Linked DNA regions of Pelodiscus sinensis. The protein of the gene in region 1 purifies or fractionates together with the protein of each later gene. This does not show direct contact. Links are inferred from orthologs where the notes say so. Each region holds a gene or a part of one and is shown on either strand. Other genes may lie near its edges.

The links.
Region 2: the proteins of APLF (region 1) and LIG3 purify together in Homo sapiens (affinity purification with mass spectrometry; 3 studies listed by BioGRID and IntAct, counting the BioPlex papers as one, with this or other methods). This does not show direct contact. The link is inferred for Pelodiscus sinensis from reciprocal best matches to the Homo sapiens genes APLF and LIG3.

Annotation. Positions count from the first base shown.
Region 1 is NC_134713.1:181,605,801-181,618,041, reverse strand, and holds the start of APLF (aprataxin and PNK-like factor), read left to right. Parts: upstream 1-6,780; 5' UTR 6,781-6,927; coding exon 6,928-7,020; intron 7,021-12,241. Other genes in the region: FBXO48 (F-box only protein 48), read right to left, coding at 4,794-5,099. UniProt on the Homo sapiens protein: Histone chaperone involved in single-strand and double-strand DNA break repair.
Region 2 is NC_134731.1:17,265,630-17,277,384, forward strand, and holds the start of LIG3 (DNA ligase 3), read right to left. Parts: upstream 5,450-11,755; 5' UTR 5,128-5,449; coding exon 4,662-5,127; intron 2,433-4,661; coding exon 2,289-2,432; intron 1-2,288. UniProt on the Homo sapiens protein: Isoform 3 functions as a heterodimer with DNA-repair protein XRCC1 in the nucleus and can correct defective DNA strand-break repair and sister chromatid exchange following treatment with ionizing radiation and alkylating agents.

The DNA.
Region 1 (12,241 bases):
CTACACAGCAAGCAGTTATTTCGACATAATGTTGGAATAATGTTGAGCTGGAGGACATCTTACTCCAACTCCTGTAACCTGCATTGTATGAGAAGTAAGGCAAATCAGAGGAAGAGTGCTCTTTCTACTTCCTGCTGTGTTTACAGCGCCAAAAGCCGAAATAAGCTATTTTGACTTAAGCCACGCAATTGACATAGCTCCAATAGTGTAGCTTATTTTGGGTTTAGACCTCTGTGTAGACATGCCCTAAGAGAGGAATCTGGGAAGACTTGGAAATAGCCATATAACTAGAGACTGCCTGGACTAGGATTTGTGATGTTTGCTTAATGAAGTCAGGTGTCACAAAGGTGTGAAATATTTGGATTTCAGTGTGTCCACTCTTCAGACCTCTCCATCTGCTCACATGCCTGCCTGCCTCCTTGTGAGTTCTTGCCTCATAGTGAACTTCTATAACACTCCTTCCTCTGAGAGGAAGTAAATCCGAAATGGCTTGCTTCTGTTTCAGTGATCTATGGAGGTAGACCTACGGCCCCAAATGAGGTGGCTGTAACCTCCTTACTTTCAAACCTGTGCTGGTTCAGGGTTGTACTTGCAATGTCTGAATCATTCTTTCTCTGATCTGCTAAGTATGAAGCTATAGCAGTCATAAGTACTTAAGAATGGTGTCACAGGGCGTCTGCCCTGTACTGGCCCATTAAGGACAAAAACCCAGCCCTTAGTGGGGGCTGAGAGCAAAGTCCAGGCTGAGGCAGTTATTGCTAATTAGGGCCCAGCTGGGGCTATATAAAGGGCTCCTTGAGGGACAGAGGACTTACTATAGCTCTGGCTGCAGAGCAGGAGGGACCTGGCTGCCTGGGAAGCAGAAGGCTTCTTGGAGATATCAGTGCTGGGAAAGGCAGGCAGAGCTGAGGAGCTCTGGCCTGACTTCACTCCCAGGCTGCAGGACCTGAGGCAAGGCCTGAGAGTATGAAAGCGGGGGGGGGGGGGGGGAAGGCAGCCAGGATAGGAAAAGGCAGCAGGTCCACACCCAATGATGAGTGGCCATTACAGACTGCAATTTGCTCCTGAAGCACGGGCTAGAGCAGGGATGTGCAATAACTTTTTGCCAAGGGCCACTTCAAACATTTCTGAAGTGGCCCCTGGCCTCAAGGGGGGGGGGGGGGGAAGGGGGCTGGGATACTTCCAGGTTCTCCACCCACAGACCAAGATTGGTCTGGGGAGGGGGGAGCACCTTTGCTTGCTTGCTTGCCTGCCTGCGTACCTGCCTCCCCCCTTTCCCCTGCACACCCATGCTCCTGGTTGGGAGGAGACTTCCCATGTTCCCCTACCCCCAGGCCAATCAGAACTGGGTGTGTGTGCCAAGTTTCTCTGCTCTGTTCCCACCCTGCACAGGGCTTAAAAGTGTCACATGCTCCTGGGAGGGCAGGAGGAGACTTCGTGTTCTCCCCCAGGCCCTGAAGCCTCCTCCCACCCTACCAGGAATGCATGGCACTTCTAAGTGCTGCGTGTTCCTCACAGGCTCTGATTAGCCTGGGGGCAGGGGAGCACACAAAGCCTCCTTCCATCCTGCCAGGAGCGTGTGGCATGTCAAAGTGCTGTATGCTCCTGGCAGCATGGAGGAAATTTTGCATGGTCCCCAGGCCCTAATTGGCTTGGGGGCGGGACAGTGGCAGGGCCTCCGGGGCCGGATCCAGCCTGCGGAGGCCCTTTGCTCGCCCCTGGGCTAGATGAAAAACAATCAGTTTCACATGTACAGAATGGGAAGTGACTGTCTAGGAAGGAGTACTGCAAAAAGGGATCTAGGGGTCATAGTGGACCATAAGTTAAACATGACAACAGTGTGACATGGTTGCAAAAAAAGCAAATATGATTCTGGGATGCCTTAACAGGAGTGTTGTGAACAAGACATGAGAAGTCATTCTTCCACTCTACTCTGCACTGATTAGGCCCCAACTGGATTACTGTGAATAGAACTGGTCACCAAGTTTCAGGAAAGATGTGGAGAAATTGGAGAAGGTTCAGAGAAGAGCAACAAAAATGATTAAAGGTCTAGAAAACGTGACCTATGAGGGAAGATTGAAAGACTTGGGCTTGTTTAGTTCAGAAATAAGATGGAGGGGGGACATGATAGCAGTTTAAGTATCTAAAAAAGTGTTACAAGGAAGAGGGAGAAATTATTCTCCTTGGCATCTGATGATGGGACAAGAAGCAATGGACTTAAATTGCAGCAAGGGAGGTTTAGGTTAAGGATGGTAAGTATCAGGTGACTAATTGAATAGACAATGCATTTTTGCATCAACTATTAAATTAGTTGATAGTGCACTTCCGCTTTTTAAGAGTAGCAACAACCCTAGGGCTGCTGTTACACTTCAAAGGCAAAAGCGGTATGTGGAGCCCTGGGTTTGCTGACCCCAGGATCCACACAGTGCTGCTGCTTTGAAATGCCATAAGAAACCTGGCACCAGGCTCTTCATAACATTTCAAAGCAGCAGCACCGTACAGAGCCCAGAGTCAGTAGGGGAGTCCCCAGCTGATTCAGGACTCCACGTGGCGCTGCTGCTTTGAAGAACCCCTTTTTCTTCCTCCCCCCTTGCTGCCACTATCAGATAAAGGGGGGGAGAGGGGAGAGAGCGACTAATCGACTATCCTGTTGACTATCCGATAATAGTTGACTAGTCCTTCACATCCTAGTTTAGGTTGGACATTAGGAAAAACATCCTGTCGGGTGGTTAAACACTGGAATAAATTGCCTAGGGAGCTTGTGGAATCTTCATCACTGGAGATATTTAAGAGCAGGTTGGATAGACATCTATCAGGGATGATCTAGACACTGCTTGGTCCTGCTGTGACCAAGGAGACTGGACTCGATGACCTCTTGAGGTACTTTCCAGTTCTAGGATTCTACGATTGAATTAATCTGCCATTTTGTTGTCCAGTCACACAATTTTGTGAGATCCCATTGTTGCTCTCTGCAGTCTGTTTTGGATGTATCTTGAGTAGTTTTGTATTGTCAGCAAATTTGGTCACCCTTTCTCCAGATCATTTATAAATACGTCAAACAGTATTGGACTCAGTTCAGATCCTTTGGGGATATCATTTTCTCTCTCTCCCAGAAGGGCATAAGGATCTTGTGCAAAAAGGTGTATTTGCGCAAAAAGGAAACGTCCACACTGGGGTTTTTTTTGTTTTGTTTTTTTTGCACAAAAACAGCTTGAATAGATTATGCAAATGAAGCACAACAAAAGGCTAATCTGTGCTTCATTTGCATACCCTCTGCCAGCAAAGCTGGCAATGGAGACAAAACCTAGGTTACATAATACAGTAATTCTGTTATTCCATAATTAAGTTCCTTCTGAACTGTTGGCTGAATATCATATGCTCCTGGTGACTTATCAGCTGTGAAGACCTATGCAAAGAATTCATTTAGCTTTTCTGCAATGGCCTTATCATTTTTGAACTCTCCTTTAGCATTTTGAATATCCAGTGGCTCCATTGGTTGTTTAGCAGGCTTCCTGCTTTTGATGTATTTAAATGTTTTTGCTGTTACTCAGAATCTTTGGATAGCTGTGTTTCAATCTTTCAGCTTTTCTATATTTCAGCCTTCCTATATTTAACAGCTCACTTGTGAGAATTTGCTACTGTTTTTCTTGATAGGATTTCACTCAACATATTTAGCAGCGTGGCTGGGGCCAGCCTGTTGCTGTGCTGCAGGGGTTGGCAGTCCAGTTAATCGGTTACTCAGTAAGCCTAATGCTTACCAGGTAACTGGTTAACCTTTTACATCCCTGGCATCCATTTTCCATGGATACAGATACAAACTTGCAGGGTTTTCTAAATACAAAATTTGAATCCACAACAGCATCTGCAAAAATGAGCTGTGGATATCCGCATCCAGATCCATGGTTGCTGATACCTGCATATATAAAGTAGATATTCTCAGATTTGCAAGGCTCTAACCAGGTGTGTAAAACTGCCCTCCTTTCTCAATATGTTCCATCCAAGAACTGGTTGATCTATTATCAGGGAACAGAGGATAATTAATTTTTCTTTATGGTACTGTTTTGCCATCTCTTCAGAGCTTCAGAGACTGCCATTTGTGATGGTTGTTGTGACACTGTCACTAAGGCCTGGTCAATATTACAAGGTTAGGTACTTAGGTTGATGCAAGATGACTTGCATTCACCTAATTATGTCAATGTCTACATTAGAATACTGCTTCTGCCAAAATAAGTCACTTTCTATGCCAACATAACTCTAACTCCACGAGGGGTATAGTTCTTTTGTTAATGCAGTTAAGACACTGATTAACTGACACAGCTGGTTGGCCATCAACCCCAGTGGGAGCTGTTAGTTGTAGTCCTCTTTTCTGGTGATGATAGCTACACTTGTCAGCTGTAGATGCTGGCTTGTAGCTGAGGCCATTGTACCCTGCTGACAGTGGGCCAGCAATGAGTGCCATGCCAGTGTTACCATAGGCTGGTGGGCTTCAGCTGTGTCCTATTATGTACCACTTCAGTTGGTGAAGCACTCCTGGTGGGGATATGCACCACCAACCAAAGGAGCAAGTGTGCATGTGAACCACTGGTGGCTTGTACACTGACTTAAGTCAACTTAATTTTGTAATGTAGACAAGCCCTGAGAGCTCACAAGCTTCAGGTATTAGATAACTTTAATTTTTCTCTTCACTGTGGATGGATCAGAAATACTGATAAGGAGAGAACCTTACATCTTAATACTGATTCCCAAAGCTATCCAGGTTCCCAAAGCTAGACAGTCCATGGCCTTTAATTTACCTTCCATGAATATCCATTTCCTCGATCAAAGTCTATCTCTCGCTGACAGACAGCTCTTACAGTTAAACAGTGATGTTTCCACAAATGGTCACTGTTCTCAATTGTGCGATTCCAGCTCTTGCAAGTCATTGCAGCTTTGCATAAGCTCTGAACGTCCAGTTCATTGAAAATTTTCAAGGTGACTTCTGGAGGCAGCAGCTCCACAAAGTCCTCCTGACTTTCTTCTTTCTTTTTGGATGATGGAAGGATGGTCCGTTCTTTACATGAAGTACCTTCCTGTTTGTTCTTCTTTGAGGTTTTCTGCATAATTTATGGTCTCCACACATCCACCATGAGTAATCCTAGGGGTGAAGAAGTGCAGGGGTCACTTATATTATACATGCAGTTAACTTTTATCAAGATAACTCTAATGCTTAAGGATATATGTTCAAGTGCTGCAAGCATAGGGTGACAATCTGTCCTGTTTTTACTGGGACAGTCCCTTATTTAAGGCCGCCTCCTTCAGTCCTGACTTTGTAGGAAAAAAAAAAAGTGGGCACATTATCCCAAATTTCCCTTGCAGGGGGTGGGAGAAGGAACTGACAGCACTCAGGGCCTGGTATCTTCCCCTTCCTTCCCCATTCTGCATGTTGTGGGGGTGAACTTCATCGCTGCAGTGGGGCAGGGTGGATGGGGAGCCACCAGCAGTCAGAGCTTTGGCTGCTGGAATCCTGAGCACTGGTGGCTTCTGTCCCACCCCTGCAACACTGACGCCTTGAGTGCCAGTGGCTTCCCCCAGCTATGGGGCTGAAGCCCCTAGCGCAAGTGGTTGCTCCTCCCTCCCCCGCCCACTACAAGGCTGAAGCTCTGCATGCTGGTGGTGGTCCTCCCCTCCCCCTCCTACAAGGTTGCAGTTCTGAGTGCCAGCAGCCCCCCTTCCCACTCCGCTGCAGGGCTGAAGCACTGAGTGTTGGTGGCTGCACCCACACAGTGAGGCTGAAACTCTGAGCACTGGCAGCCCCCTCCCCGGTGTCCCATATTCTACATAGGCAGGAGCGGCCTAGGCGAACCTTGCAAATCGGTGCCCCCACCTCCAAACCCCTCAACGATATTGTGTCACCATTTGGTACCCCATTTAACTTGGCGCCCTAGGCGATTTGCCTATATGGATAGGCCGCCCCTGCACATAGGGAAATGTGTGGAGCAAGTACAGAGTGCCTTGTGCACCCTACCTGGCCCTGTGTTGCTGCCCCTAGGTGCGACCCGAATGGGCTTGTTCACAGCCTATTGGGCAGTGGCTTGCTAAAGAAAATAGGCCCCACGCCTGTGGGCACTCTGGGACTTGTAGCTTCCATCTGGCGACACTGAAGCCAGCCGGGGGGGCATGGAGGAGAGCTGGAGACGACCACTGCTGGGATGCTGGGTGAGGTGGGGATTTGAACACTGGTGCCTATGGGCAGCTCCATGGCAATCACTCGAGCCGTGGGCGATGCCCTGTGCCCAGGCTAGGCTGCCCCCGCCCCCATGAGCTGGGCGAGGAGTAGACGCGGGTGGGGAATGGGGGAAGCCCCCCGCCCCCAGGGGCCGAGTGTGATGCGAGGGGCTCGTTTTATTGGCTGCTCACGTGTGGGTGGCCCTGGCGGCTTTTCTGTGGGCCGGTGGCTCCCGCCCGCGTTAGACGGTGCCCTGCGTCCGCTGCCAGCCTGGGCCCTGCTGCGGAACTCCCCAGCCCAGGGCGTGGCTGGAGCCAGCGCTCCCCGCAGCAGCCCCCGGCCCAGGCGCGTGGAGCAGTCCGCCCCCTACCTGGCCCCGCGCCGTTGCCCGCCGTTGCCGGTTTTAACGTCTCCCCCATTCGAACGGGCTTGTTTCCACCCTTCCCAAGGTAAACAGGACCCCGCGCATGCGCCGCAGCGGGGCACGCCGGGACTTGTAGTTTGCCTGCGGGGACGCTGAAGCGCGGCCGGGCGGCGCGGGGGAGAGTTGGGAACTACCGTTTCCGGGCGGGGCGGCGATCTGAACGCACAGGGCGGTAGCCAGACGCGCCCGCTAGCTGGCCGCCCCAGAGGGAAGCGGAAGGGCGAGAAGCCTCCCGACCTGGCTCAAGAAAAGTGCAAAGGGGCAGCGGGGGCCGCGCCCTGTCCCGCCCGCGGGGCCCATGCCGGGCTTCGAGCTCGCGCCCGCGGACGGGGGCTGCCCGCTGGCGCTGCCGCCCGGCCAGACCGTGCTGGGAAGAGGCCCCCTGTTGGGAGTAAGTCTGGCTCCTCGGGGGGGCTCCCTGTCCCCGCCCCCGCTCCCGCTGCAGCTCCCCTCTCCCCCCGTCTCCGGCCGGGGAGCCGCCTCGGGCTGGGCCAGGCGCTGTGATTCTCCCGTGAGGGAGCGATTATCCCCCTCACATTATCCCGGGGGGGCTTCTGGGGCCGGAAGGGACCATTGGGTCCTCGGACTTCACCCCCTGGCGGGGGAAGGCGGAATCACAGCCCCCCTCCTCTTTGCAAGCCTATCCCCGCTGTAACTGAGATTCCCTTTTAACGTGACTCCGGGAGCTGGGCGTTAAGAGACACTCGAAACATGAGGAGACTGATCCCTCGCACGGGTTGGCAGTGCTGTTTTGCATTGCCCCGTTCTGTAGCAACACCTTTGTCTGGATTCTGCTCCAAATGAGATGAAATGTGGGGTCTAACTACTCCTGGAGACATTCTGTGCCAAGAAATTAAATTCTGTGCGCGTGGGGGGGGCGGGGAACATTTCAGAGCAAAATATTTTAAAGTTCTATAAAATTTTGCAAATTGTATTTGTCAAAACACTACATAATCATGCCAGTTTTGATTATTTTTTGTATTTTTTTAATTTCAAAATACTTGTCACCAAGCATAGGAAAGTTGTGGTAACACCCAAGAGGTTCACTGCCCTGCTCCCCATACCTCTGCCAAAATTTTGATGGTTAAATGGGGTGCTTCCTTTCTGCACCCCTTCCCCTCTCAGGCATCAGATGCCTATGCCAGCAAATATGTCTGATTGTAACAATACATACACTATCTTTTCCTTCCCCCAGGTGTCAAGTATTCAATCATGAATTGTTTCATAGGGGTTTCTCTGCCCCCTTTCCCAGTTGTTTCCCAGACACCCACAGCCCCTTCCCAGATATTTACATCCTCCTCCCTGTTCCCCCGTAGTTCGAGGTCAGGGATCCAGAGGGAGAAACAGCCGGATGCCTCAGTCCAGGCTTGTATAGGGTTGCTTGCATGCCACTATCTCTTTCCCTCAGAATGTCCTGGATATTACAGGTGCCAGGAACTAGGGATATAAAGGGGTAACTGGCTGACTGGTGCTTGGCTAGAGCAGCCCCCCACCCCATCCACAGCACACCACGGGAAAGGGGTGCTTAAGCCTGGCAGTGGTGCAACATGGTGGACTGGATAACCAGTTAAACATATAGCTAAATGGATTAACATATTAAATGAGGTTTTATAGCCCTTCCAGGAATCCTCTAGGTGAGGGGTCTGCAAATATCAGTCTACCAGGTTTAGCTCCTGGTGGGCTCCCACCACTATATTTGCCTACATGGCTGCAGATACTGATGATTGCAGCTCTCACTGTTTGGCCAGGATCAGCCATCTGCAATGGGAGTAAAATCATAGGCTGGTGCCATCATCAACTGCCATGCTGTCAGGGCACTGACTACCTGTGGTAGTACCTGATGCTGCCCTGATATTTCATCCTTAATCCCAGCCTAATGCGGAGGGGAGGCCCTGCCCTAGAGGCAGTTAGTGAGCAACCCTGCCTCACATGCATGCTTCCGCAGTGGTTCTAGTTTCACTGGGCAAGGCCCTGCGTGTTGTTGACCTGGCATGCTGGATTCCTGGCTATCTAGCTGTTCTGATGTGTGGGTGAAATTGGGATGCCTCCTGCATGTCAGCTCACAACGCTTGAATGTGGAATCAGGCTCAGCCTGTTGGGGCAGGAGCTGCTTCTGCAAGTGAGAGCAGGATACACTCACTTTTCAAGCCCACCTGTGGCTTCTCAGTATTGGGCCTACAACCCATCATTGAGAAACAGTGCTTTAGAACACATGAGGGCATTCTCCAGAAAAATCACTATTTCTGAAGCATTGAGTGCACATTTAAAGTGAAACAATGTTCTCAATAGTATACTTCGAAGTATACCTGTAACCATGAGCTGGTAATAGTATTTTAGATGCGACTTAATTTGGCATTGTCCCTTCATAGGTATCTTTAAACAATCTTAATTTTGTAATTATTGAAGTAGGGATTTGTAATTTGGAGTAGGGATGTAAAATTCCAGTTAATCAGTTAACAAGTTAAATGTTAAGTTAGGTTGACCTAATGTTTAACTGGTTAATGACTAAGCATGATCTGAGCTGAGGACTGCTACAGCTTGGCTTGAGCAGCCCACATGGCTGCTGGTCCCTGCCCCTCCCTTCCGCGCCCCTCCCCCTGCTGGAAGTAGGGCTGGGCGCCTGAAGGGGTCCCTCCCTCGCGGGGGCTGGGACGAGAGCAGCCCCTGTCCACAGTGGTCACCTGCAGCAGGTGGGAAGCTACTGCAGCCCCCACCGGTTACTAGTAAGTGGAATCGGTAAGCATTACCCATTTAAGCTGATGCTTACTGGTTAACCTTTCACACATTTAGTTTAGAAGTATGGCTGCAGTGGTGCAACTGTACTGCTTTAACACTGTAGTATAGATGTTTCCTTCATCTGTGGAGGGGTGTTTCTATCATTGCAGGTATTCCATCTCACTGGGTGGCAGTAGCTAGGTCAGTAGAAGAATTCTTAAGTTGGAGTTCTTAGTGTTGCCTGAAATATGGAGTTGAAGGAGTGAATTTTACACCCCTGAGTGAGGTAGTTATGTCAGTCTAAATGTAAAGTGTAGACCAGGGCTTCTACTCAGCTTCACTTATCCATATTAGCACTTAGTGCTTAATCACAATGGTATCTTTCTTTAGTTAGCAAATAGTGTTGAATTCACCAAAAGCTTTTATACGTATTTTGTTAACTGGTTTTAGATTTGGAAGAGAGTTCAAGGGTCCTTCAGTTAAATCCACTTGTTTGTGCAGGTTATAAATAGGGGCACAATTTGATCAGCTGCTTTCTATGTCTAATTTACACTTCTGTAGTGCTAGTGTATGAGAACAGTGAAATTGACTAGAAAAAGTTGTGAAACTGATCAGTGTGGATTCCTTATACTTGATGTAGAATGAAAAAAAGGAAAATGTGTGAACAGTGGAAAGTAAATACTATTTCACTGTTCTGTACATTTTAATACACTAAATTACTTAATGTTCCCTCTCTGAGAGGGGTGCACGTCGCCATAATTCCAATTCAGAGGGCTAAACACTATGGCTACGTCTACACTGCAGGCTTTTTGCGGAAGAACAGCTCTTCTTGCGCAGAAACTTGCTGGGTGTCTACACTGCATGCGTGTTCTTGCGCAAGTAAATTTACAGTACAGCGTCAGAAAATAGGGCTTCTTCCGGAAGAGTTATTCCTCTCTCCACGAGGAATAAGTCCTCTTGCACAAGAGCTCTTCCACAAGAAGGCAGTGTAGACAGGCAACATGATTTTCTTGCGCAAGAAACCCCTATGGCTAAAATGGCCATCAGAGCTTTCTTGCACAAGAGAGCATCCATACTGCCATGGACGCTCTTGCGCAAGAGATGTGCATTTGTGCAAGAGCATCCATGGCAGTGTGGATGCACGCTTGTGGACCTTTTGCACAAGAACTCTTGCGCAAAACAGTTCTTGCGCAAGATGCCTGCAGTGTAGATGTAGCCTATATTATTTTTCTGGATGGATATATTCCATTTATTCTGTTTAAATAATCCATCTGCTATTTGTGGTGGTAGGAAAGGTATAGTTAGATGAGGGAGCCAGTACTTTTAAAAGAAATTATTCTGGTTGCATTGAAATTGGGCCTTTCACTTTTAGACTTCCTTAATTGCTTAGAGTTTTTTCACTGAACCATCATTTTGTATTTGTCTCTTTGACTGTGCTTCACATTTTTCCCTTTTGACCAGTCTTCCTCTGAAGAGAACAGGTATACTTTAGCATAGTGTCTTATTCATAGTCAGCATAATTAGCATGTCTCAGAGGTGCAGCCTTTTAACTCTGTATCCGCAAAAAGGAATCCTGTGGCATAATAAAGACGAAGGCTACGTCTACACTGACAGCTTCTTCCACAAGAAAGCTCTGACGGCAATTTTAACCATAGGGGCTTCTTCCGCAATAAATTCATGTTGCGTGTCTACACTGGCCTTTTCTGGAAGAGCTCTTGTGCAAGAGGGCTTCTTCCTGAGAGAGAGTGTCAGAGTTCTTGTGCAAGAAGCCCTGATTTTCTACAGTACAACGTCAGTTTACTTGCGCAAGAACGCACAGTCAGTGTAGACAGATGGCATGTTTTCGTGCAAGAACACGCCAGCACTTACACAGCCTAACAGATTTATTTGGGCGTAAGCTTTTGTGGGTAAAAAAACCACTCTGTCGACTCTATGCATTTAGTCAGAGACCAATAGGAAAGATGAGAAATGATGGGGGAGTTTGAGAAGTTCAACAGCAACATTTTGAAAATTCCAGCCGTCATACCCACTCTTTGTTTGAGGGGCTGACATTGGGATTCTTATCTATGGAATTCTTCACCAATTTTTGTATTGGTTTCTGCCTAGTGGGTTTTGGAAAATAAAATCATACCAGCAGCCTCTGATGAAAAGAAAAACACTCTCAGCTTGTTCCCTCTTCCCATCAGAATCTCCTGATTGTTGCAGACCCATGCTAACTTGTGTGTCTTTGTTGCTGTCTCATGTCTGCAATCGGAGTGGTGCTGGTCAGGATCTATAGATGGAAGTGTATCTCAGTTATTCTCCCTACGCTTCTGTTTTTATCCTTATGCTTCCATCATAGCTTTCTCAAACAGCAGTGAAAATGAAACTTCTGTTAGTGGATATTCTCTGATATCCACTTCTGTTGGCAGGAGAAACAAGATTTCAGGCTTCATAGAGCTGTTAATCTGCAAACAACTAACAGACAGAACTGGAAAGGGAAACTGCCTCACATTTATCCCAAATAACTATGCAAATCCCATGGTCATGTGTCAGTGAGGAAGCTGAACATATACACTGGCACCATGTCACGACATACAACCTCTGGCGATAATGACAATGATGGTACTAGACTACATTATCTTTGTTCGTGTTGGGTCTTGTTTTCTTACCTCATGTGGACATGTAGAATGCATGGCTGTCTGGCAGTATCATGGACACTCAAATGCTACTGCACATCTTCAAAGCAGTGACTTTGAGGTTATTGTGCATACAAAGGGCAATGGCCATTAGCTGTTACATAGGATTCTGTGGTATCATGGGTGCTTGCCACAGTAGCAGCTTGGTGGATTATTTTGCTAATTAGTTATCTTCTGAATTGGACTCTGATTCCTCACAAGGATAGTGAACTATGTTCA
Region 2 (11,755 bases), on another chromosome or scaffold:
CCTCCGGAAAAGGCTTTATTTTCCAGAGAATCACGTCTAGACTGGTGCTTTTCTTTGGCTTTTCCCCAAGCCGGAAAAAAGCGGCAGCCATGTTAATGCAAATGCCGCGGGGGATATTTAAATCCCCCGCGGATTTGCCTATTCCAAAGTCTACATTAGCATCCCTTTTCTGGAAAGGGGTGCCAATGTAGACACAGCCTCACAGCAAAAGGCAACCAACAGTGGAAGGAAAATGCTGGACAAAGCTGCAGGCTCCCTTACAATCCTTCCTAACCAGTTTTCATTTCTTCCCACTCAGCTTCCAGAGGCAGGTACCAAGATGGAACCCATCCCATGAGCCACAACCCCAATCTGGACACCTGAGGTATAATATGATCAGCTGATCCAAATAAATCAGAGGACTTGGAATTTGGATTAACAGGGATCGTCACTAAGCAAGAGATGAAGTTAAGGGGACAATCCAACTGCAAACAGATAAACTAGGTAATAATGTAATTACTCTGTGTAACCAGTGAGCCTGTTTATCTTGATGTTGTAGTGACAAGAGGATCAATACTTTTAGCACTAATGTAACTATTAACAATGAACTAAACCCATCACATCCACGCTTCTTTCCTGCACAAGATTCAGGAACTAAGCTGGAAATGCTCAACTCATTGCAGAAGCTTTCAGTTAATAGGATCCCACTTGGGAGGGACTGAGATACCTGCACAGCTTCAGACAGTTCTATTCTGAAAACCATGAGAAATTTATTTCTCTACTTGCCAACTTTATGGTTTCCCTTCCCTCACCTAAGAGAAAGATGGAAGCTCAATTGCTTAGGACTAAATTAGAAAATAGCATAGGACAGAATCCTACAGTGACTGGGTGAAGTAATAGTCTTTCCATCTCTAGTTTCTGCCACACAATTCTGAGCACAATGAAGTAACCTACAAAAATCAGAGTTTGTCTGATATAGTAAAACATTTACTGAATTTCCATTTAGAAATGAAGTTTTTTTCCCCAGTGGTACCAAGGCACAGAAGGGCTGTGCCCACAATCTTGTATTATTTCACATATCTAAAAAAGATTTAGCTGTCCAGTTACAATAGTGCATTTCTGCAGTTTTCAGGAAACATTATTTTACTTTAACAAGTGCCACAAAATATTACAAAAAAATTCCAGATGTGTTACTTGGTTTATTTCAGCCTCTCTTTATGTAGAAAAAGGTGCAGTTTTCCAAATCTCAAAGGTCTTTCAAAGAACCAGCCATGTAGCCAAGGTAAGTCACTAAAAAAAAAGCTTTCCACTTCAGTTACAGGTTTCAAAGTATTGTCATTGTTTATGCATATTACTGAGTCCAGATTCTGCTCCCCATCAGGTCAATCAGAGCTTTTCCACTGATGTAGAAATGAGCAGGTCCTTGCTGATTCCAGATAACTGAAGTCAACATTCAGTCTAGACCAGTGGTTTTCAATATGTGGCCCACAGGTCCCTGGGAATCCACAGACTATGTGTAAGATTTTCAAAGGGTGGGAGGTAGGTATTTTTGCAAATGCAAAAAGACTGAAAACCACTGATCTAGACTCAAATACAATTCTGCAGTCCCCTTATTTTTTCTGGGCAGAAGATTTGGTAGGCTTTATCCCTTTTGTACACATCACCAAAAGAATGCAAATATCAGTTATTTTATGACTGACAGCTTAGAAAACACTGAACATTTTTTCTACAGATAGTAAAACAAAATATCACGTTTTGTTAGCACAATCATTTCTTATTCACTTAATATAAACCACTGGGCTGCGTCTAGACTGGTATGATTTTGCGCAAAAGCGACTGCTGTTGCGCAAAAATCTTGCCGCCTGTCTGCACTGGCCGCGAGTATTTGCGCAAGAACACTGACTTTGTAATGTACAAAATCAGTGATTCTTGTGCAAATACTCTGATGCTCCTGCTCAGGGATAAGCCCTCTTGTGCAAGTATTCTTGCGCAAGAGGGCCAGTGTAGACAGCAACGTTAATTTCTTGCGCAAGAAAGCCCGATGGCTAAAATGGCCATTGGAACTTTTTTGCGCAAGAGAGCATCTACACTAGCACGGATGCTTTTGTGCAAAAGCAAATCTTTTGCACAAAGGCACATGCCAGAATAGACGCTCTCTTGCGCAAATACTTTTAATGGAAAAACTTTTCCATTAAAAGTTTTTGCGCAAAATCATGCCAGTCTAGACACAACCCTGAGGTTTGACTCAAACTCCACTGATGCTATTATAAGAACGGGGGCTCCCCTAGCATCAGTGTAATATATCTCACCTGTGAAGCCAGAGAATTTCTTTGGTGATGGATTGGGGGCAGCTGGTAGCTCCTTCTTGGGAGTGGTTATCTGCCCACTGGGGGAGAGCTTGGCTTGGACTGTTGCTTTTTTCTTAGGTGTGTTTGCAGCCTTGGAAGTAGCCTCTGTGGAACACAGTAAGAGGTAAAGCATCTGCATAAGTGATCTAAGACAACCTGTAAACCCTCAACAACAAAATCAGGTAAGTAACTTACAATACTTTGAAATAAGCAACTTTTGTCAGAACTTACAAATAGCCAACACACGGAGAGAGGGGATAGGTAGTTTTATTTGTAAAATGTCTACTAGGAGCTCAGTAATGAGCCCCAGCTCAAACAGCAAAATAGAGCTGACCAGGGCTCCTAGTGACTTGCACTTACAGCCTACTCCATTAGCCTTGACACTAATTGATAGGGTTTTTTCCTCTCACCTCCATTTCTTCCCTCTTTTTCGGCTTTATATTTCAAAATCTATGCCCTTTGCTCCATGATATGTCACCTGAAGAAGTGGGTCGTGCCCATGAAAGTTCACGATACTATTTATATATTTGTTAGTCTCCAAGGTGCCACAGAACCGTTGTTGGTATTTAAGTTTCATTAGAGAGTAGGGCTTCCTCCCTCCAGCCTTCCAGTGCTTGCATTCTGAGAGCATGTCTTAATTGCAGAGTTCACTCAGGCATTGGTTTAGATGTTGCCTCTAGCCCCCTCCCATCTGCACATAAAACACTCTCATGATCTTATTTTAAGCCTGGGTTTAGTTAGCCCAGCTGAGGGGATAGGCTAGACCAGGGGTGGGCAAAAGGGCCTCCTTAGGCCAGATCTGGCCGATGGAGGCCCTGCTGCTCTCCTGTCCCCAGGCCAATGAGGGCCTGGGGAGCATGCAAAGCCTCCTCCTGTCATGCCAGGAGCAAATGGTGCTTTGAAGCAAGATGGGGGCAGAGCGGAGGAGGCTTCATGTACTCTCCCACCCCCAGGCTCTATTAGGCCTAGGGGCAGGGGAACGTGGGAAGTCTCCTCCCATGCCAGGGGCATGAGCTACCTAGGGGCAATGTGGGGTAGCAAAGGCAGTTCCTCACCCCCAGACCAATCATTGTCTGGGGGCAGGGAACTTGGAAGTATCTTGGCCCCATCCCTTCCTGTGTGACATTTCTGAAGTGGCTCCTGACAAAAAAATTATTGCCCACCCTTGGGCTAGATCCTGGGTGCTACTTTCACTCCCGCTGGTAAAATATTTAAAATCTCCATACATTTTAAATATTTTACCAGCGGGAGTGAAAGTAGCACCCAGGATCTAGCCCAAGGGTGGGCAATAATTTTTTGTCAGGGGTTCTCTGATGATGACCTCTCAGGTGTGTATCAGAGAACCCCTGACAAAAAATTATTGCCCACCCTTGGGCTAGATCCTGGGTGCTACTTTCACTCCCGCTGGTAAAATATTTAAAATGTATGGAGATTTTAAATATTTTACCAGTGGGAGTGAAAGTAGCACCCAGGATCTAGCCCAAGGGTGGGCAATAATTTTTTGTCAGGGGTTCTCTGATACACACCTGAGAGGTCATCAAGTCCAATCCCCTGCTTTCGCAGCAGGACCAAGTACCATCCCTGACAGATTTATCCCAGATCCCTAAATGGCCCCCTCAAGTAGTGAACTCACAATACTCAAACCACTGAGCTATTCCTCCACCTAGTTTTCAGTAAGGATGCAGGCTAAGCTACTTCAGGCAGGGACTCTCTATTCTTTGCTGTTCCATGAAGCGACAATAATAAATCATGTGCATGCCGATAGTCCTGCAATGCCTTCTTACAGTTCCTTCCCATTGCATTCAAGGACAGACAAGTTCTCTCAACTCACTGGGGCTGTGTCCAGACTACAGCTGCGTTCTTTCGAAATTAAATCGAAAGAACGCGGCTTTTCTTTAGACGGCGGTAAACCTAATTTCACGAAGAAGAATGCCTTTTTTCGAAAGAGCTCTTTCGAAAAAAGGCGTTCTTGAATGCAAACAGGGCGTTTTTGAAAGAGAGCATCCAGACTGCCTGGGTGCTTTCTTTCGAAAAAGCAGCTTGCTTTTTCGAAAGGACTGGCTGCAGTCTAGACGCTCTTTTTCGAAAGAGGTTTTTTTAGAAAGATACTTCCGAAAAAGCCTCTTTCGAAAGAGGCTGGCAGTCTAGACATAGCCTGGGAAAGACTCATAGCAGTTTTTGGGATGCAGAGAAAAAGACAACTGCACTCATCACAAACCACTGCAATGCCCTGTGTGCAATGCCTCTATGGAGTAGAAATCACTGACGCCACATTTCCTACTGTTACAGCTGATAAAGGTGCAAGGCACAGTGGGTCTCCCTCTAGTGTCTCACCTGCGATGTGCTGGCTTATCATCTGTTTCTCTTCATCTTGGAGCATTTCCCAGCCCTCCAAGTCCGTGATGTCCTCAATCTTCTTCGTCGTGGCCCGAGCCCGCTCTAGTTTCTCGAAGACGCACTTGACGTGGTACCACTCCTTCATGTCGCCCCCCGACTCCGAGAAGGGGTTGGGCACCACCTTGCCGATGCGCACCATGCCCTTCAGGAGCTTCTCCTTGCACTTCCTGCAGCCGGCGGTGCCGCGCTTGGCGTAGTCCACGCAGAACCTCTGCTCCGCCATGACCGCGGGGGCCGCGCAGAGCCGGCGGGGCCAGAGGGGCGCGGCTGAGGGAAGAGCCCGGTGGCGGCTGGCGGGAAGGGGCTGACCCAGGAGCGCGCTGCCCGCGCGCAGGCAGAGCCCGGCCCGTCGGCTCAGCGCCCGGGCGGCCGGCGGGAGGAGGCGCTGGAGGGCAGCGGGCATGCGGCGCGCGGCCCTCGGGGACAAGGCCCAGCGCGGAGCCCTCAGAGCCGCGTTACACCGCGGGGGAGGGGCGGGGCGGGCCGGGGGCGCCCCTCAGAGCCTCGCGGCTGTGCCAGCGGGAGGGGGCAGGGCTGGGCAAGGAAGGGAGTCCTCGCTGCGGGCTCGGAGAGCGACCGGCCTAGGCCAAAGCCGCGTGCGCCGCGTCCCCTTTAAATCCGGGACTCGCGGCCGGGGCGGGGCCTAGGATATGGCGCATGCGCACGGGCTCGTGAGCCACGGCGGCTGGGCCGGTAGCAGGGCCCCGCCCCTCGGGCCCCGTAGCGTGGTGGGCCGCGCCTCGCACGGAACAGAGACCCCGCCCCTCAGCAACTGCCTTCCCAGAGACCCCGCTGAGAAAACCCCGCCCCTCACGAGCCCCGCCTGTCACCACAGACCCAGGCTAACCTCGTTCCCCTCACCACAAGCCCCGCCCCTAACAACAACGCCCACCCCCTCCCAACAAGCCCTGCCCCTCACCTAGTCACCCTGACAACAACCACGCCCATCTCTAGTGACCCTGCCTCCTCCAGGCAACCCCCCATCTCTTCACAACCCCTCCCTTGAAAGTAACCTCATCCCCTCAGCACAGACCCTGCCCCTCACAGCAAACCCCTCCCCTCAGCACAGACCCTGCCCCTCACAGCAAACCCCTCCCTCAGCACAGACCCTGCCCCTCACAGCAAACCCCTCCCCTCAGCACAGTCCCTGCCCCTCACAGCAAACCCCTCCCCTCAGCACAGACCCTGCCCCTCACAGCAAACCCCTCCCCTCAGCACAGACCCTGCCCCTCACAGCAAACCCCTCCCCTCAGCACAGACACTGCCCCTCACAGCAAACCCCTCCCCTCAGCACAGACCCTGCCCCTCACAGCAAACCCCTCCCCTCAGCACAGTCCCTGCCCCTCACAGCAAACCCCTCCCCTCAGCACAGACCCTGCCCCTCACAGCAAACCCCTCCCCTCAGCACAGTCCCTGCCCCTCACAGCAAACCCCTCCCCTCAGCACAGACCCTGCCCCTCACAGCAAACCCCTCCCCTCAGCACAGTCCCTGCCCCTCACAGCAAACCCCTCCCTCACCACAGACCCTGCCCCTCACAGCAAACCCCTCCCTCACCACAGACCCTGCCCCCAGACCCTGCCCCCATAGAGACCCCCCCTCAGCATCATACACCTGGCCCCTCACCACAGACCCTGCCCCCATAGAGACCCCCCCCTCAGCATCATACACCTGGCCCCTCACCACAGACCCTGCCCCCATAGAGACCCCCCCTCAGCATCATACACCTGGCCCCTCACCACAGACCCTGCCCCCATAGAGACCCCCCCCTCAGCACAGACCCTGCCCCCATAGAGACCCCCCCTCAGCATCATACACCTGGCCCCTCAGCACAGACCCCATCTTCCTTATAGCATGAAACCTCCCCCTCTTCACCAGAAGCCCTAGTCCCTCATTCATATGTAACCCCTTTTTCCTCCCTGGGATACTTGGGAGCAGGTCACAGCACAGGGCCTGATGGGCTTGACATAAAAGGAGATCCTGAGTACCCCAGTGGTGATGTTGTTTGGTTGGGGAAAACCTCTCCACCCCCTTGCTGCTGTCCCTTGCTCATAAAGAATGTACAATGGTGGTGCCTCCACCTGGCTGGCCCTGTACACACGGGTGTGCCTTGGAAGCCTCTAGGAATAAACTTATTCCAGCAATAAACTGGATCTAACTCCCGAACAACAATTACAAATCATAAATAATATACATCTAATAGATTGCATTAGAATGAACAACCTTTACTTAACTTAAAGAAACAGGATTTAACAAATTAACAGTGAATAACATTAATTAACAAAGTACACAAAAGTAAAATGAACTTATCTAGCTACCAATATTTATCCCACCCCAGTGTGCACACCCCTGGACTCAGAGTCCCAAATTCTTGCTTGCATGGGCGCGCTTGAAGAACTGCAGCTATAATGGAGATTCTCTGTAGGTAGTGTGTATGTGGGTCCAAACTATGCCGCAGCTCTGGTTCACTGGGTTGGCCTCTCTCCTTCTCTTTGAACCCAGAGTTAGTCTGAATCTCTGAGGTCTGTCCCAGGCAGCATTTTCCCAAAGATGCCCAGTTACTCACAGTCTCCTTTTATGTGCTGGATGCAGAGTAGCTGCTAGACACAAGTACAGCCAAAGGACCTCCTCTCTTGGGCAATCAAAAGCAGCCTGCTAGATCCCAGTTCCAAAGGCTTGCTGTCCCAGTCTGTAACTGCAACATAACAGCTCCTGAACTGTATCAAACTCCCTGGCTCCCTTTCTGGTCCAAAAACAGAGGGGCTGTGCCTACATTAGCATCCCTTTTCCGGAAAAGGGTGCCAATGAGACAAGTCGGCATTGCAAATGCCGCGGGGGATTTAAATATCCCCCGCGGCATTTGCATGAACATGGCTGCCGCTTTTTTCTGGCTCGGGGCTTTGCCAGAAAAAAGCGCCAGTCTAGACGAGATCTTTCGGAAAATAAAGCCTTTTCTGGAAGATCCCTTATTCCTGATTTTAAGAGGAATAAGGGATCTTCCAGAAAACGCTTTATTTTCCGAAAGATCCCGTCTAGACTGGCGCTTTTCTCTGGCAAAGCCCCGAGCCGGAAAAAAGCGGCAGCCATGTTCATGCAAATGCTGCAGGGGATATTTAAATCCCCTGCGGCATTTGCAATTCCGACTTGTCTCATTGGCACCCTTTTCCGGAAAAGGGATGCTAATGTAGACACAGCCAGGGAGTCCACAGACTGCTGAGTCTTTCTCCACACACATGGAGAGACTCAGCTCTCCCCATCAAGAGTCCTTCCTTCCTGTTTTTCCCCAGGGCTCATGGGAATTGTAGTCTGTGAGGTTAGATTGCCACACACAGGGTCTTCCCAGAAAATAAGCAGAAGCACCTTTAGTAAGGTGACTACACATAGATTCCAGCCCAGAGCAGTCCATTGTGATCATTGAGTCTGGTCTCCTAGTACAGGCCAAAGACTTGCCCCAAAATAATTCCCAGAGCAAATCCTATAGAATCCTGATTTAAAAAAAGGGTCAGTAATGAGACTCTACCATGATACTTGGTAAATTGTTCTAACAGCTAATTATTCTTACTGGGAAAAAAATGCCTTATTTCATATCTGATTTTGTCTACCTTCAGCCTCCAGCCACTGGTTCATATTAGACCTTTCTCTACTAGACTGAAAAGCCCCATTATCAAATCTATATTCCCCACATAGGTACTTACAGACTGTGATCAAGTCACACTTCAGCCGTTTCTTTGTTAAGCTAAACAGATTCAGCTCTTTGAGTCTATCAGCATAAAGCAGATTTTCTAAACCTTTAATCGCTCTTGTGGCTTTTCTCTAAACCCAGCCCTCTCCAATTTATCAACTTTCATCTTGAATTGTGGGCACCGGCACCGGGCATGGTTTTGCAGCACCAGTGCCAAATACAGAGGTTGAAATAACCTCTCCCTTCTTTCTTGAGATGCCCCTATGTATGCATCCCAGAATCTCATTAGCTCTTTTGGCTACAGCATCAAACTGGGAGCTCATGTTCAGCTGATTATCAACCATGACCTTATCATAGAATCATAGAGCCATAGAGCTGGAAGAGACCTCAGGAGGCCATCGAGTCCAGCCCCCTGCTCTAGGCAGGACCAATCCCAACTAAATTAACCCTGCCAGGGCTTTGTCAAGCTGAGACTTAAACACCTCTAGGGATGGAGACTCCACTACTTCCCTAGGTAACCCATTCCAGTGCTTTACTACCTTCCTAGTGAAATAGTTTTTCCTAATATCCAACCTGGACCTTTCCCACCACAACTTGAGACCATTGCTCCTTGTTCTGCCATCTGTCACTACTGTGAACAGCCTTTCTCCAGCCTCTTTGAAACCTCCCTTCAGGAAGTTGAAGGCTGCTATCAAATCCCCCCTCACTCTTCGCTTCTGTAGACTAAACAGACCCAACTCCCTCAGCCTCTCCTCATAAGTCATATGCTCCAGCCCTCTAATCATTTTGGTTGCCCTCCGCTGGACCTTCTCCAATGCGTCCACATCCTTTTTGTAGTGGGGGGCCAGAACTTGGCTACAAGGGCACACTGTTGACTCATATCCAGCATCTCATCCACTGTAACCCCAAAGTCCTCTTCTGCAGAACTACTACTTAACTGGTTGGTCCCCAGCTTGTAACTATGCTTGGGATTCTTCCATCCCAAGTGCAGGACTCTGCATTTGTCCTTGTTGAACCTCATCAGATTTCTTGTGGCCCAAACCTCCAATTTGTCTAAGTCACTCTGGACCCTATTTCTGCTCTCAAACGTATCTACTTCTCCCCGTAGCTTAGTGTCATCCTCAAACTTGCTGAGGGTGCAATCCATCCCCTCATCCAGGTAATTAATAAAGATATTGAACAAAACCGGTCCTAGAACTGAACCTTGGGGCACTCCGCTAGAAACCGACCGCCATCCTGACATCGAGCCATTGATCACTACCTGCTGGGCCCGGCCTTCTAGCCATCTTTCTTCTAGCCATCTTACTGTCCATTTATCCAATCCACATTCCCTTAACTTGCTGGGAAGAATATTGTGGGAGACCGTATCAAAAGCCTTGCTAAAGTCAAGGTATATAACATCCACTGACTTTCCCACGGCCACAGAGCCAGTTACCTCATCATAGAAGCTAATCAGATTGGTCAGACACGACTTTCCCTTTGTGAATCCATGCTGACTATTCCTGATCACTTTCCTCTCTTCCAAGTGCCTCAAAATGGATTCCTTAAGGATCCCTTCCATGATTTTTCCAGGAACCGAGGTAAGACTGACTGGCCTATAGTTCCCTGAATCGTCCTTCTTCCCTTTTTTGAAGATGGGCACTACATTTGCCTTTTTTTCAATCGTCCGGGATTTCTCCCAATCTCCACAACTTTTCAAAGATAATGGCCAAAGGCTCCTCAATGACATTTGCCAACTCCCTTAGTACCCTCGGATGCATTAAGTCCGGACCCATGGATTTGTGTACGTTTAGCTTTTCTAAATAGTTCCTAACCTGTTCTTTACCCACCAAAGGCTGTCCATCTTCATCCCATCTTGCGTCACTTAGCGCATTAGTCTGGGAGCAGACCTTGTCCGTGAATACAGAGGCAAAGAAAGCATTGAGTACTTCAGCTTTCCCCACATTATCTATCACTAGGTTACCTCCTTCATCCATTAGGGGCTGCAAACCCTCTCTGATCACCTTCTTCTTGTTAACATGCCTGTAGAAACCTTTCTTGTTATCCTTCACATCCTTAGCCAGTTGCAATTCCATTTGTGCTTTCGCCTTCCTGATAACCCCCCGGCATTCTCGAGCTATACATTTAAACTCCTCCCTGGTCATTTGTCCAAGTTTCCACTTTTTGTAAGCTTCCTTTTTGTGCTTAAGTTCACCAAGGATTTCCCAGGTAAGCCGATCCGGTCTCCTACCTTAAAATCTTTTTGGGTATGTCTACACTACAGCACTAATTCGAACTAACTTAGTTCGAACTAAGCTAATTTGAACTAACGCATCCAGACTAAAAAACTAGTTCGAATTAGCATTTTGCTAATTCGAACTAGCATGTCCACACAGAGTGGACCCTGAACTGAGGTTAAGGATGTCCGGAAGCAGTGCTGGCAGGGCATCAGATGAGGACTTAGAACGTGGAGCTGCTGTCTCAGGCTAGCCGAGGGCTGTGCTTAAAGGGACCCGACCCCCACCCCGGACAGACAGTTCTCAAGGGGTGCCCCGCTTGCAAAGCAGTCCTGGCTTGGATTGCCCGGAGTACCCACACTGGGCACATCACAGCACTCGGCCATCAGACCGGCTGCACTTGCCGCAGGCTGCCATCTGGGGAGAGGGGGCAATTGGGGGGCTGCAGGAGAGGTTCCACCCCCAGAAGCCTACAGAGCCAGCCCAGTCCTCCCCATCGGGGGCTCGTACCCCATTCCTCCCTCACCTCCTTCCACTTAGCCCTCCCTAGCCGCCCTTCCTGATGTACAAAATAAAGGACAATTGTGTTCAAAAATAGAATCTCTCTTTATTGAACAAAACTGGGGGAGACTGGGGAAAGGAGGTGGGAGAGGGGAAGAGAAAGGGTGGGAGAGGGGAGGGCAACTAAAATGATCAGAGGTTTGGAACAGGTCCCATATGAAGAGAGGCTAAAGAGACTGGGACTTTTCAGCTTAGAAAAGAGGAGATGGAGGGGGGATATGATAGAGGTCTATAAAAGCATGAGTGGGGTGGAGAGGGTGCATACAGAAAAGTTCTTCATTAGTTCCCATAAAGAAGGACTAGAGGACACCAAAGGAAAGGAATGGGTAGCAGGCTTCAAACTAGTAACAGAAAGTTGTTCTTCACAAAGCAAATAGTCAACCTGTGGAACTCCTTGCTGCAGGAGGCTGTGAAGGCTAGAACTAGAACAGAGTTTAAAGAGAAGTGAGATCAATTCATGGAGGTTGGGTCCATGGAGTGGTATTAGCCAGGGGGTAGGAGTGGTGTCCCTGCCCGAAGTTTGTGGAAGGCTGGAGAGGGATGGCACGAGACAAATGGCTTGGTCACTGTCTTT